3 linked regions of the Oryzias latipes genome follow. The protein of the gene in region 3 purifies or fractionates together with the protein of the main gene of each other region. This does not show direct contact. Links are inferred from orthologs where the notes say so. Each region holds a gene or a part of one and is shown on either strand. Other genes may lie near its edges.

Region 1 (4,785 bases), on a different chromosome or scaffold from region 3:
AACAAAAAAAAAAAACCCAACAAATTTTTTTCTCTTAACCTCCACACCAGCAGACGCGTCAAACACGGCGACGGCTCCATCCAGAACGCGAAGCGCCCGCTCCACCTCCAGAGTAAAGTCAACGTGTCCTGCAGTCACACAAACATCTCTGTCTGCTCCTCATTTGAATGTGATCCACGCTTTGAGAGGCAGAGCATTTTACCTGGAGTGTCTATGAGGTTTATTCTGTGACTGTTCCAGTCGAAGGTGACTGCTGCCGACTGTATGGTGATGCCGCGCTCCCTCTCCTGAGCCATAAAATCTGTGACTGTATCCCCGTCGTCAACATCTACCAGCAGACAGAAAGAATAAACTAAGCAAAAGCGGTGAGAGCTCTGAGAAACAAAAACTGAGGCACGCGTCTGCACCTCCTAATGCCCTCGTATAGCCAGAGTAGTACAGCATCCTCTCTGTTGTGGTGGTTTTTCCTGCATCAATGTGGGCCATGATGCCAATATTTCGAATCCTGCGGGGTCAGATCACAGCTCAGCACAAGCATCGGAACAGAATTTGCTGATGCATTTCTAAAAAACAATCTGTCTTTCAAGAGCTAAAACGTACTTGGATATGTCAGGGGTGACCACAGCCCGCAGCGACTTAACATCATCTGTCACAACAGGATAAATCATTTAAAATCAGATTTCCAGCATACCGATGCATGGCAACAAATATTAAAAAGGTGAAAAAATCCCCAAATTTTCAATATCTGTAGAAAATGGACAGAGATCTACATCCTCACAACCTGAAACATATCGGTGGATTCAATATGCTACAGCGTCTGATCATAAACCAAACCTACCTGGAAGAAATCCATACTGTCTCTTTATAAAGCTGACTTTACATCTGCAGCTCTGTCGGCCAGCGGACACCAAACACCGTCCCTGTACATTAAATATAAGAAATCTTTTTGTTTGTGCTTTTACACTTAAGTTGCAGCTTTGAGATTTGGGGAAACACACATCCAACCAACATGAACTTATGTTTATGCTACAATACAGCAATAATGGTTTTTCACACAAGCTAAATAAACAATAAGACATGATTACAGTATTTGAAAAAGAATATTTTTAAATGATTTCTTACCCAAAGCATTCTGCTAATTGTGAAGCTGACAGGCTTCACCTTTTGCTAGAAACTCCTTTCCAATCCTCAATGCTCCAAACATGTAATGATACGTTCAGATTTATGCAGACTGAGAGAAGCGTCTAGCGGCTACATAAATATACCGAAACTTAGAGTTAAATTCTTCGTTATGCACATGTTATAAAAAATAATACAAATCGTTAAAATACCCTTGACAGCCGAAACAGGCATGTAACTTGTTTGAGACATGTTGTACACAACCTAAAATATACCCTCTAGAAACAACCCAACTGTTCTTTTTAGTTCCGTCAATAAATCGAAAACCTCACTTTGTCTATCCAAGTCTAATATGTTCTAAAATAGTCTTTTAAATATATTTAATAAATACTGTTATTTTCTTAATATATATTATTGACAACAGCGGGTCAGAATAAATATTTTTGTACAACTTTGCAGGTTTCTTGCAACGTACCGGATGTGTTGTAGATCAAGTGATGACGTATTTCCTCTACACATCGGCACGGGGGACAACAACACCGATAACCCCCAGCCTGGAAAGAAAAACCCAAAATAATCGGTGTATTTCGTAACTGCAACGATATTTGAAATATTAACAATCATACTTAACATCTCCAGCGCAAAATGGTGAGAAGCGTAATACTTTTAGTTTTGTTTTTGTTCACATTAAAGCGGCTAAGCGCGTTAGCATGTTATGCTAGTGTTAGCTGCGTGGGGCGACTTCACGTGTTGCTATAAATTTTAAGTTTATGGGTTTTTTTGGCATTATATATATCGCAAACTACTGAATGAAATGATTTCAGTACTGTATTTTCATCAGGGGAAACTAATAATTCCCAGTTTTATATAAACTAAACTGGAGCTAGTACTATCCGGGAGATTTTTGACGCACAACTATTGATTCGTAACACTTGTGGGTTTTTTTTCTGGAGAAATTTGCTCATTTGAAGGAAATCTGTTAACTGTGATTAAGTGGGTACATAGATGTTATGCTCCTACTTGTAATACAAATTCTAAGTCATAATTTCAACCTAAATCTTACAGCCATAACGGAAAATAAATTCAATGTTTGTTGCATTATTACACATCACTTGTGCACTTGTGTACAGATGCCAGTGACCCCTGGAAATGCCTTTATGTTAAATTGGATGCAATTAAAATGTTTTGAATGTGTCACCTAAAAACTCTGTACGTTACTCTATGTAAATAATTTTGTAAAATTAGAATTATTCTATTTTGAGATTCAAAACCACTTCTTTTTTGTGAATGTAGCCTCAGAACGAACACATTGAGCTGCACCGCAAGCGGCATGGCTACCGCCTCGACCATCACGAGAGGAAAAGGAAGAAGGAGAGTAGGGAGGCTCACGAGCGCTCCCACAAAGCCAAGAAACTGATCGGCTTGAAGGCCAAACTGTACCACAAACAGAGACATGCAGAGAAGATCCAGATGAAGAAGACGTGAGTAACGTTGGAAAAGTATGATCATTTCTTTGCTGTTACACAGAGTTCAACACACGACTCTTTGTTTATAGCATCAAAATGCACGAACAGAGGAAAACTAAGCAGAAGAATGACGACAAGACGCCAGAGGGAGCAGTCCCAGCCTACCTGCTGGACAGAGAAGGACAGTCCAGAGCAAAGGTGCTCTCCAACATGATTAAACAGAAAAGGAAGGAGAAGGCTGTAAGTAGAAGCCCTGCAGAGTTTATATTTTTAAACCACAGAAACCCAAATTTGATGTGCTTTTTGTGAATTGTTTTCCGTGTGCAGGGTAAATGGGAGGTGCCTTTGCCAAAGGTGCGTGCTCAAGGAGAGACTGAAGTACTGAAAGTCATCAAAACAGGGAAGAGGCAGAAGAAAGCGTGGAAGAGGATGGTCACTAAAGTGTGCTTTGTCGGGGACGGCTTCACACGTAAACCTCCAAAGTACGAGCGCTTCATCCGGCCCATGGTGAGAAGACGGGACGCTTCTGTTTAGGATTTTCTACAGTCAGATCTGCTTCAAATCAAAGACCCTGAAAACCTTAAGCACGTCTCCTTCGTGTTTCTTTTAGGGTTTGCGCTTTAAAAAGGCTCACGTCACTCATCCAGAGCTGAAAGCAACGTTCTGTCTCCCCATCCTCGGAGTGAAGAAGAACCCCTCCTCCCCCCTCTACACGTCTCTGGGCGTCATCACGAAGGGAACAGTGATAGAAGTCAATGTCAGCGAGCTGGGCCTGGTTACACAAGGAGGAAAGGTTATCTGGGGTGAGTTATCCATTCTGGTTCCAGCTGCACAGTACCGACAGTTTCAGCTTTAAAGTGTGGTTGAATCTAACTTGAGTTGGTGTTTTCGGTCTCTGTGTTGCTTTCCAGGTAAATACGCCCAGGTAACAAACAACCCAGAGAACGACGGCTGCATCAACGCCGTTTTGCTCGTCTGAGACTCAGAATGCCCGCTAACTGTGCCTGCCTACTCTTAATTTATGTTTAAGAGTACAGATTACATCAAAGATGCTTTGGACTTTGTTTCTTGGACCGTTTGGAATATCGGAAAGGTTGCTCGGAGCATTTTCTGCAACAAGGAGAAACTGAGAGAAAAAGGTGTTAAATTTCAAATAAATAAAACAAAACTTTAACGTTTTCTTGAATTGTTTGAACCAGTATTGTTTAGTAGGTGGAAGAATGGTATAATTTGACAGGTTTTTACATACAAAAGAATAAAATGCAACCACATTACCCAAAGCACAACGAAATTACCCGCAACAGAAATTAGGACTTTTTTTTGCTATCGGCGAAAAAACCCAATTCAGTCTCAAACTATTCGGCGCTCCTGAGAGCTACGTGATATTTGGACAAGATTAGGGTGTTTTCTTACTAGATAACGTCTTTTTTTTTTTTTAATGACTTAAGTCGTTTTAAAAAAACGCTGTTTTATTAGCCTGTCGAAAAACTCATCCTTTCATGTAAGTTATACTGTCAGAACAAAACATGTTTTTATTTTATTTTTATTGATGGGTAATGCCATAAAGACCCACTGTGGTTATCTGTTGATCTATTGTAGAAACGTTCCCAGTGGGTTTTTAATTAGGATTATGCTCTTTTTAGGTCAAATCTAAAAAACATGTCATTTTTGAGGACAATGTTTCTGCAGATTGGTTGTAGTTCATTTGAAAAGCAATTTTAAGATTAAAATTTCTTTACATAGATTCTCCAAAATCAGCAAAATATCCCGTTAACAGTTTCCATCAGTGGGTCTTTGTTGGTTTCTGCTGATATAAACTGAGCAGAAAAATGTCAAGTTCAACTTTATCTTATTGAACCCTGCTATTCTTTTGAAGTATTTCATTTCAAAAATCAGTGTTTTTATTGCAAACTAAAGTGCTGCTATAGTTTACCCAACACTAAACTCACCCTTAAAAATGTAAACATTGGTGACAAACGGCCAACCGACGGAAAGATTCACACATTTGGTGAAAAGGGATCGACTTCTTTATACCAACATTACCCAACTTCATTCTGTTTGCTGCTCAGTCATGAGAAAAGACAAATAACATCTTTAGGCTCTGATTTTTCTAAGTTCAGCAACTTAATAGACCTTTTTTTAAGTCAGAATAAGACATTTCAGATAAAACCACGTTAATGATTAACCAGCTGTCAAACTT
Region 2 (5,066 bases), on a different chromosome or scaffold from region 3:
TTAGCCAACTTCATGTCCTCTGTCAAGACATCCATGTATCTCCTCTTTGGCCGTCCTCTTGCCCTCCTGCCAGGCAGCTCCATCTCCAACATCCTTCTACCAATATATCCACTATCCCTCCTCTGAACATGTCCAAACCATCTCAGTCTGGCTTCTCTGACTTTGTCGCTAACACAGGCAACATGAGCCGTCCCTCTGATGTACTCGTTCCTTATCCTGTCTAACCTGGTCACTCCTAAGGAGAACCTCAACATCTTCATCTCCGCTACCTCCATCTCAGCCTCTTGTCTCTGTCTCACTGCTACCGTCTCTAACCCATAGAGCAGAGCTGGTCTCACCACTGTCTTGTACACCTTTCCTTTGAGTCTTGCTGGCACTCTTCTGTCACACAACACTCCTGACACTTTCCTCCACCCGCTCCAACCTGCCTGCACTCGCCTCTTCACCTCTTTTCCACACTCCCCATCACACTGAACTGTTGACCCCAAGTACTTAAACTCCTGCACCTTCTTCACCTCAGCCCCCTGTAACCTAACGCTTCTACCTTGATCCCTCTCGTTCAGACACATGTATTCTGTCTTACTACGACTGACCTTCATGCCTCTTCTTTCCAGAGCAAACCTCCACCTCTCTAGCTGTTCCTCCACCTGCTCTCTACTCTCACTGCAAATTACGATGTCATCCGCAAACATCATTGTCCAGGGAGATTCCTGTCTTACCTCGTCTGTCAGCCTGTCCATCAGCATAGCAAACAAAAAAGGACTCAAAGCTGATCCTTGGTGTAGTCCCACCTCCACCTTGAACTCCTCTGTCTGACCTACAGCACATCTCACCACCGTCATACTTCTCTCATACATGTCCTGAACTACTCTGACATACTTCTCTGCCACTCCAGACGACCTCATACAGTACCACAGCTCCTCCCTCGGCACCCTGTCATACGCCTTCTCTAAATCTACGAACACACAATGCAGCTCCTTCTGACCTTCTCTGTACTTTTCCATCAACATTCTCAAAGCAAAAATGGCATCAGTGGTGCTCTTACGGGGCATGAAACCATACTGCTGCTCACAAATCTCCACCTTCTTCCTAAGCCTGGCTTCCACTACTCTTTCCCACAGCTTCATTGTGTGGCTCATCAACTTTATTCCTCTATAGTTGCTGCAGTTCTGCGTGTCACCCTTGTTCTTAAAGATCGGAACCAGAACGCTTCTCCTCCATTCCTCAGGCATCTTCTCACTCTCTAGAATCCTATTGAAAAAACTCGTTAGAAATTCCACTGCTGTCTCTCCTAAGCACTTCCATACCTCCACAGGTACGTCATCAGGACCAACGGCCTTTCCGCTCTTCATCCTTTTCAGAGCCTTCCTAACCTCATCCTTTCCAATCTCTGCTACTTCCTGCTCCACAACAACCACATCTTCCTCCCTTCTTTCCCTGTCATTTTCCTCGTTCATCAGCTCCTCAAAATACTCCTTCCATCTTTTCTGTACACTCTCCTGGGTTGTTAGCACCTTTCCGTCTCTGTCCTTAATCACCCTTATCTGTTGCACGTCCTTCCCATCTCTGTCTCTCTGTCTGGCTAGCCTGTACAAGTCCTTCTCTCCTTCCTTTGTGTCTAACCTGTCATATAGCTCATCGTAAGCTTTCTGTTTGGCCTTTGCCACCTCTCTCTTCACTCTACGCTGCGCTTCCTTGTACTCATGTCTACCTTCCTCAGTCCTTTCTACATCCCACTTCCTTTTAGCCAACCTCTTCCTCTGGACGCATTCCTGTACTTCCTCATTCCACCACCAAGTCTCTTTACCGTCTTTCCTCTTTCCAGATGACACACCTAGCACCTTCCTACCTGTTTCCCTGATAATCTCTGCTGTAGTTTCCCAGTCATCTGGAAGCTCATCCTGACCACCCAGGACCTGCCTCAACTTCTGCCTAAATTCCTCACAAGTTTCTTCATTCTGTAGCTTCCACCACTTGGTCTTCTTTTCTGTTTTCCCTCTCTTCTTCTTCCTGACCTCCAGAGTCATCTTACACACCACCATGCGGTGCTGTTTGGCTACACTCTCTCCTACCACCACTTTGCAGTCATTAACCTCTCTCAAATGACCTCGTCTACATAGGATGTAGTCCACCTGAGTACTCCTACCTCCACTTCTGTATGTCACTCTATGTTCCTCTCTCTTCTGGAAGTAAGTGTTGACTACAGCCATTTCCATCCTCTTCGCAAAGTCCACCACCATCTGTCCCTCCAGATTCCTTTCATTCACACCAAACCTGCCCATCACCTCCTCATCACCTCTGTTGCCCTCACCAACATGCCCATTAAAGTCTGCTCCAATAACAACTCTCTCTCCTCTGGGGATACTCTCTATGACCTCATCCAACTCACTCCAGAATCTCTCCTTCACTTCTAACTCACAGCCAACCTGTGGCGCATACCCACTGACTACATTCACCATCACCCCTTCAATTTCTAACTTTAGGCTCATCATCCTGTCTGAGACTCTTTTCACCTCTAGAACACTGTTTACAAACTCCCCCTTCAGAATCACACCTACCCCGTTTCTCTTCCTATCAACACCATGATAGAACAGTTTGTATCCTCCTCCAATACTACGTGCCTTGCTGCCCTTCCACCTTGTCTCCTGCACACACAGTACATCTACCTTCCTTCTCTCCATCATGTCTGCCAGCTCTCTGCCTTTCCCTGTCATTGTGCCAACGTTAAGAGTCCCTATTCTCAAACCTATGTTCCTGCCTTTTCCCTTCTCTCTCTGGCCACGGACCCTTCTGCCTCCCCTCTTTCTTCGACCAACAGTAGTCAAATTTCCACCGACACCCTGTAGGTTAACAGCATCGGTGGCGGTCGTTGTTAACCCGGGCCTCGACCGATCCGGTATGTCAAAAGTGTTGTGGATGATTCGCATGGTTATTTTGGCAATTTTTACGCCGGATGCCCTTCCTGACGCAACCCTCTCTATTTATCCGGGCTTGGGACCGGCACAGAGGCAACTGGCTTGCAACCCCTGTGGCTAGATTGCTTTACAGCGCATCGCGTAACACATTTGTGCTAATTTTTGTTAGCTTATAAAACGTCCACGACCGAAAAACGAGTGCTTTAAGTCGGTAACAGGTTTTAAAAACTGGAATCGAATAAATATACCAAACACATCAATATAAACTTTTAATTTCTTACTTTTCTTGTCTCTCTTTGACTTGGGCATGGTTGTTCACGTTGGCAGACAGCGCACGTGAAGCAAAAGGACCCCAAATGTTTCTTTTCCTGTAAGATGACCACACAGCGCCTGATTAAAAATAAAAAGAATTATCAGGTTTTTTTTTTTATTGAAATTACTTTAAACAATGATTTACCTAAACTAAACGCATTAAACTCATTGGTGATGCATTCCCCCCACATTCTAACATATTTTATCCATTAATTAATTTATGTATCAAACATGTAATTAGTTTTGTTCTAATGCCTGAAGAAATATGTGGACTTCTAAACTCTGCAACGTTGTGGACAAACTTTGATAGGGTACCGGATGTTCTCGGGTTGCCGGATGTTCTCGGGGTCCTTCGGGGTCCTTCGACCAATGATGACGTCACACTATTTGATTGGCTGTAAGTTGCCACGACCAATGAGTTAACGTAGCTAAGTTTTTTAAAAAACTTTATTGACAATTGCGGTATCATACATTAACAATGACATTAACGTTAACAACGAACAATAACGATGTAATCAATATTGCCTCGAAGATCAGTCACCATTGCCAAATATAACATATTGACATAGAAAATACATAATAGAGGGGAAAAAAAGAAACAATGAACATAACACACAAATAAATAAAAACATAAGTAAAATAAAATAAAGGAACATAGAAAAAATCTAAGTAGTCTAATACTAGTTAAGTTAGGGGTACTCGTGAAGTTTTTATTTCTGAACAAAACTAAGCAATTTCAAGCCATTCTTCTTTTTCATATAATGAAGTGATTGAAAGCAAAAACAGAGCTCTTTATTAAATGTTATAAAAGTGGTTTGGTCTTCAAAACTTGACCTCACCAAGATGGCGGTGCTCTCCTCCCATGAGGAACCACGTGATGTCTCCTCTAGTGATAGAACTCATTGGAAGGACCCTGAAGGACCCCGAGAACATCCGGCAACCCGAGAACATCCGGTACCTACACCGCCTATTTAGGAAACTAACACAAAAAACCTTTGGCTCTGATAACACAAATGGGTCACCTGCTTCACACTAGGAACTGAACATCGGTGTAGTGTTACTGCTCCAAATACCATCATGTGAACACCTAGCAGTGCCAATCAGGGAAAACTGGAGGGCAGATCATGTGTTGGCTTACTTGCTTCACTTACTCAGTGTGATGCACCATAAAGATCATTTTGAAACAGCTGGGCACTGATTTTGCAAAACAGCTATTAATACTTCAAATGCCCTTATCAATCATATACTTTCTTGAATGTTATTGCAGGAAAAGATTTATTGCATATTCTTTTCCGTACTCCTGTACACACTGAAGCTTTTATGCCCATTATAGCTGCCATCTGGTGGGGATTATGAACAGATTAACCTACAAAACAGCACCTGAGCCACAGAGAAGCAGCACACACAGTCAAAGCAATGCAGTACAGGTACAAATTGTTTCTGTTTACCTCTTTGTAATAGAATAGAGCAAATCTATCATTTTTGTAACCCAAAAATCCAGTTTGGACAGCTACTTCAGGAACAATATGTAACTTTAAGAAACACAAAAAGTGTTAGGGCTTCACGTAACAATAGAACATATAGATCTATTATGGTATAAAGTGGAAAAACAAGGAAAACACCACTGAAAATGCTATTAAAGCAGAGGTGTCCAAACTTTTGCAAAAAGGGCCAGATTTGGTGTGGTGAAAATGTGTTAGGGCCAACCTTTGTTTTGCATTATTTGTACCGTTATAACATAAAATGCAAATGAACCGATTGATTGATTTTTTTTCTCCAATGGGAAACTTTTCATTTCTTCACATTGAAAGGAATCAAACCAAAATCAACTTTCAGAGA
Region 3 (4,932 bases):
GGACTTCATGGTTACCCATGTAAAAAGGGCAAACTACCTATCATTTAGAAATCACTAGGGATGTCACAATTCTGTTTAAACCTGAAACCGTATGTTACGCAACTAAACATTATTGTGGGAAAAGTGAAGCGTTGCATCCTCCCCACTGCATCTTAGAAAGTTTAAGTGTCAAAGCTATTAGGCTACATTGGAGAAAGCTTTATTATTTATCATTTTACCAGGTCTAGTATAAGCCAGCAGAACTGTTGCTTACAGGGCTTTTCTTTTTAGCTTTTTGTTGTGTTGCATTACAGTGTTCCCTCCTTTACTGTGGAGGTTTCATTCTATAAATAACTCGCAATAGGAGAAATTACAGAATCCCTCACTACACACTTAATACACTTTCCTCAGACAGACACACATTTTCACACTTCTGTCTCTTGTTTAAACTCCAGTATAACTCTAGTATTGTCGAATGAGAAGGAAGATCTGCTCGTTATCATAGAATTTTGGAAATGTGGCAAACTGAACACACTGCACAGGAGGCACGCCACAGAGGAGATTGATCGACAAGATCTCCAGCAGATTTTAGAGCGGGGTTTTGCTCAGAAAGATCTGGGAAAGGTTAATTTCGACATAGCGAAGGAATACTGCAGAGAAATATCAAATTGTAACAAAGCTGTGAGCCAAAGATCGAGGTTTGAGCCAAATTATGGGAAAAGTTTATGGTTTCATCTCTGGTAATCACTTCAACATCATCACCCAGTCTACATATTCCCATCTGCGTGGTATCAATAGATAGATAGATAGATAGATTCACCCCCCAAAACCCTTTGATCCTGATCCACAGCCCCACCAAGTACTGTAACTCTCCTCCTCAGCCTCGTCTTAATAATCGCTAAACACGCTACAACTGGTCAGCAACTGCACCGCTTGGACAATTACTGTCTGTTGCTCTCTCTTGTCTCAGCACCTACCCCCCCCCCCCCCCCCCCCCCGTGAGGCATTAACGTTTCCCACCCCAACAAACCCCCATATCACGATGGTTGACTCTCCTGGCTTTCATCAATACAGAGTCCTTGCTTGTGACATCAAATTAAATGGATTAATTAGGACTAATCTGACGCTGAAAGACAACCAGGTGCAGCGTCTCACCTGCCAGCGGAGGTATCTGTAGTCCATGTGACCCACAAACAGGGATTTGGTGGTGAAGGCATAAGGCTGGACATCAACATCAGCTCTGGTGACCTGATGAGGAACATGTATGTTAACCCCGTTCCGGAAACAGCTTAGTCAAGCAGCTCGAACACACGACAGTCAGCAGCATGCTCACATATGACGGAGTCTGCATCCAGTTTATTCAAGAGTACTTCAAACCAATCACCTTGTTGATGAAGCTGGACTTGCCCACGTTGGGGTAACCACACAGGAGAAGGGTCCGGGTGTTGGGGTCGATGCTCGGCAGACGGGACAGATGCTGTCGCACTGCGAGGGTGGAAACACAATTCAAAGAGGCTGTTGGTAACTTCTGATTTAGGCTTCTGACAACAATAAAACCAAGCACAGGGCAATGTTCACCTTGTTCCAAATACTCCAGACTGGACTTCTGTCGTTTCAGGATGGTGCACATTCGACCCAGAGCGGCTCTCTTCAGCTGTTTGCATCGATACAGAGAGTCTCCATATTTCATCAGGCGCACATAGTCTTTGGCAACACTGGAGGATGCAGAAAAACACATGCTTGATAGCTCCTGCGGCAGGTTTGGCTTCTTATTTGCAACAATTAAAAGAACAAGTCTCTCTGCTTTAATCTGGGTTGATCAGTAGAACAAAAATACTTAAAATGAAGTTACAGCATCCAAATATCAGCTAAACACAGCATTATAGATGAGTGAGGGAGTTTACGAAAACGAATACTGTAAGTTCAGACTGCCACCAAATAGTTAAAAGGACATTAATGAAAGTGTTTGAAAATAAACAGAAAAAAAAACAAGTACTCTTCAGCTGGTCATTCCATTTGGACCAAGAAAGGAAAGAACCAGGTAACCATGACAACTGGCTCATGTCAGAGTTAGGCATCTTCACATCCACAAAAAGCAAAGGAACCCCAATAGACTTACTTGTCAATTAAGTTTTTAGCTATGTTTATCTGTCCCAAGGCCAGCTTGTAGTGGTCCTTGTCATACAGCACGTTCATCAGATCAGCATAAAATGGGTGGATATCCTGCAGAGACCAAGCACAGCTATTCAACAAGCACATCTCAGGAGTCGGGCAAAAGTCCAGGGATGGGTACTTACGTCCAGTTTGGGGAAGTCTGTGAGGATCTGTGTGAGGCGGTCATGGTAGTTCTGCTGGGTGAATTTCACTTTTCGCATGTAAAAGTGTCTGATTCTGTGAATCTGGTAATGTTTGTGTACGACTGTGGGCGTCTTCCTTTGGGTTTTGGATAAGGTGATGTCGATAAATTCCTTAAGAAGAGGGGGGAAAAAAACAAGTGTCAACACAAACCACCCTTCAGATATGAATAAATCCTGTTTCATCAAAAAAAAAGTGTCTTTTTACATTTGAAACCATTTTCTTAACATGTATGTCGCATGAAATCAAGACTGTCAACAAGAACAACATTCACGAAATGGATCACCTGTGTTTTTAGACTGACAAAAGAAAGATCACTTGAATTATTTGTACAATTTGTGGTCACTAACTCAGAAAGAGCCTTAAGCGTCTGATCTGAACAACAAGCACGTGTTTTCTCTCTTCTGAAAAAACGTTCTATTTGTTCGTCACTTCTTGCCGTCTTGTAATCGTGGCTGAAACGGAAGCTACTTTAAAACCATGGATTCGTTGATTAAAGCTTACCTTGGCGGTGGGAACCACCATAATTTTTTTAAAGTTATAAAGTGCCATCTTGTCGGACACGTTGAGGTCCGCGAACGGCACGGAGAAGAGGAAAGACGAGGTTCCGCTCGAACCGGAAAAGGCTGTTGAAACGTTAGAGTCGACGTTTTCCCGACATCGCCCCCTAGCGTCTGATTGTGAACTCACAGTTCTACGTCGTGCACAGAGTTTTAAAGTCTACAAAAAAAGGGATGCACATTCATATTCGAATCTTATTTGCACACTATTTCTAATAGCTTAAACAAAACGGCGATATATGTTTATGAAAACTGTATGTCTTTGAATATTTTCAATGCATATCAATATGTTTCTGTAATATTTCTTTTGTAATACATGTACCATCCCATTCTCGTTGTTATGACTATTGTTCTTGTCATACATATTTTTTCTATTTGTTTTGAACAATAAAGTTTAAAAAAAACTTAAAAAAAAGGGATGCAAATTTGCATTCAATTCTGCATCCTGGTTACCTTTTCTGTATTTATTTTTCCATTTATTCTTTTAGATTTTTGTCTTTTCTATAGTTTTATTCATTCTGTGTTCTTCTTTCTTTCTGTGTCTGATTGTGAATTGTGTCTTGCTACTTTATTATGACTGATTGTCTGTGTTTTTGTTATCTGTAAAAAAATTTGATTTTTTAAAATTTTGATGTTTTAAATATCCAAAAACTCATCTTCTTCTTCATCATCGTCATCATCATCATTATCAACATCATGATTTTGGCTAAATTGAAGCTTAAACAAAAAACTCACTTACATTTCAATCTGCTTTTTAAAATGGTTCACTGCAGTGAAATGATTTATGCTTTGCTCATACCATAGGACATTTTCCTATGAAATCTGCAACAAGTTTCTCTAGAATATTCAAGACAAATTTTCACATTATGTTCTTGTAAAAAGTGTCATACAACTAAAGTTCTTTTAAAAAAAAAATGCTACAAATCTTATTATTATTTTATTGAAACTTTATATGTTATGTTGCCTGCTTGGGATATTTAAATTGCTCAGGCTTTTCATTAGAGAAACATATTTTTTTCATAAACTTATTATTTTAAAAGTAACGTTTTTATTATTATTATGAATGTTTCAAACGTTTTCCATAATTTTAAAGACATAAAAAAAAGTTGTGACGGCTTTTATCACAAACCAACCAATTTGAGCGCAAATATCTTTTTATTTATTTTTTTTCAAAAATCTTTATTGAAGATTTACAGGATCTTAGTACGAAATCAAGTCAACTTTAAAGTACACAGATAGAAAAATGAGTAACAAAATATGCCAGGGGAACACAAAGAACATAGGGAAAAAAAAGATCATAAACAAGAGCAGTAAAAGCTGCAAGTTGCTATTCTGTACACTTAAAAAATTCCAGAGTGTCAAAGGTTCTTATAGCTTTGGGGTTAGAAGAAGATTTTATTGTTCTTGTTTATTTGTTTAACTCAATCATAAAAAGTTTGAATCGGGGCTTTTCTTTCAGAAAATTTGCATTTATGAACATGAAATTTGGCTAGTATTATTAAAAGGTTAATTAAGTAGTATTCCCTTATTAGTGAATGTTTAACATTATAAAAACAAATAATATATCCTTGTATACTAGATCAAATTTCATATACATTTTTCATTAAACAAAAGAGGTAAAGTCTTTGCAAAAAGTTGCTGTTTGGGTGCATTTCCAGAATAGATGCATGATTGTTTCAGTGTCTAATTTACAAAAGGAGCAGTTTCCATCAATGTCCATGTGGAGTGAGGATTTGGCTGGGTGGCATCTGTGAAGAAGTTCAAAGCAAACATCTCACGGTTTATTTGAAAGGAAATATTTGGAGGACAAAGTCCAAACTTTCTTCCGTTCAATATCTGGGGGAAATTTTCTCCATCAGTGGGTCACATGGGTACAACTGCAATATCTTTCTGAAACAGGGATTTTATTTTTTTATTTCTTGTTGAAGTTCTAAAGCAGGTCTTGCCAATATTGGTTCCAAATAAAGAGACTGAACCTGGTGGTAGTGGGTGTACAAGACCTTTAAATAACATCATAATTCCTTCAGGAATAGCATCC

The links. Proteins that work in one complex are often made in the same cells at the same time.
Region 1: the proteins of gtpbp4 (region 3) and nsa2 purify together in Homo sapiens (affinity purification with mass spectrometry; 3 studies listed by BioGRID and IntAct, counting the BioPlex papers as one, with this or other methods). This does not show direct contact. The link is inferred for Oryzias latipes from reciprocal best matches to the Homo sapiens genes GTPBP4 and NSA2.
Region 2: the proteins of gtpbp4 (region 3) and mrto4 purify together in Homo sapiens (affinity purification with mass spectrometry; 3 studies listed by BioGRID and IntAct, counting the BioPlex papers as one, with this or other methods). This does not show direct contact. The link is inferred for Oryzias latipes from reciprocal best matches to the Homo sapiens genes GTPBP4 and MRTO4.

What each region holds. Positions count from the first base shown.
Region 1 is NC_019870.2:5,749,592-5,754,376, forward strand, and holds nsa2 (ribosome biogenesis protein NSA2 homolog), read left to right. Parts: upstream 1-1,611; 5' UTR 1,612-1,764; coding exon 1,765-1,767; intron 1,768-2,412; coding exon 2,413-2,600; intron 2,601-2,674; coding exon 2,675-2,825; intron 2,826-2,912; coding exon 2,913-3,092; intron 3,093-3,195; coding exon 3,196-3,388; intron 3,389-3,496; coding exon 3,497-3,564; 3' UTR 3,565-3,764; downstream 3,765-4,785. Other genes in the region: gfm2 (ribosome-releasing factor 2, mitochondrial), read right to left, coding at 40-128, 203-328, 408-505, 601-646, 839-920, 1,123-1,131. UniProt on the Homo sapiens protein: Involved in the biogenesis of the 60S ribosomal subunit. May play a part in the quality control of pre-60S particles.
Region 2 is NC_019863.2:9,138,710-9,143,775, forward strand, and holds the start of mrto4 (mRNA turnover protein 4 homolog), read right to left. Parts: upstream 3,322-5,066; 5' UTR 3,225-3,321; coding exon 3,197-3,224; intron 1-3,196. UniProt on the Homo sapiens protein: Component of the ribosome assembly machinery. Nuclear paralog of the ribosomal protein P0, it binds pre-60S subunits at an early stage of assembly in the nucleolus, and is replaced by P0 in cytoplasmic pre-60S subunits and mature 80S ribosomes.
Region 3 is NC_019875.2:8,398,776-8,403,707, reverse strand, and holds the start of gtpbp4 (nucleolar GTP-binding protein 1), read right to left. Parts: upstream 2,973-4,932; 5' UTR 2,887-2,972; coding exon 2,839-2,886; intron 2,448-2,838; coding exon 2,277-2,447; intron 2,203-2,276; coding exon 2,099-2,202; intron 1,695-2,098; coding exon 1,558-1,694; intron 1,465-1,557; coding exon 1,364-1,464; intron 1,228-1,363; coding exon 1,135-1,227; intron 1-1,134. UniProt on the Homo sapiens protein: Involved in the biogenesis of the 60S ribosomal subunit. Acts as a TP53 repressor, preventing TP53 stabilization and cell cycle arrest.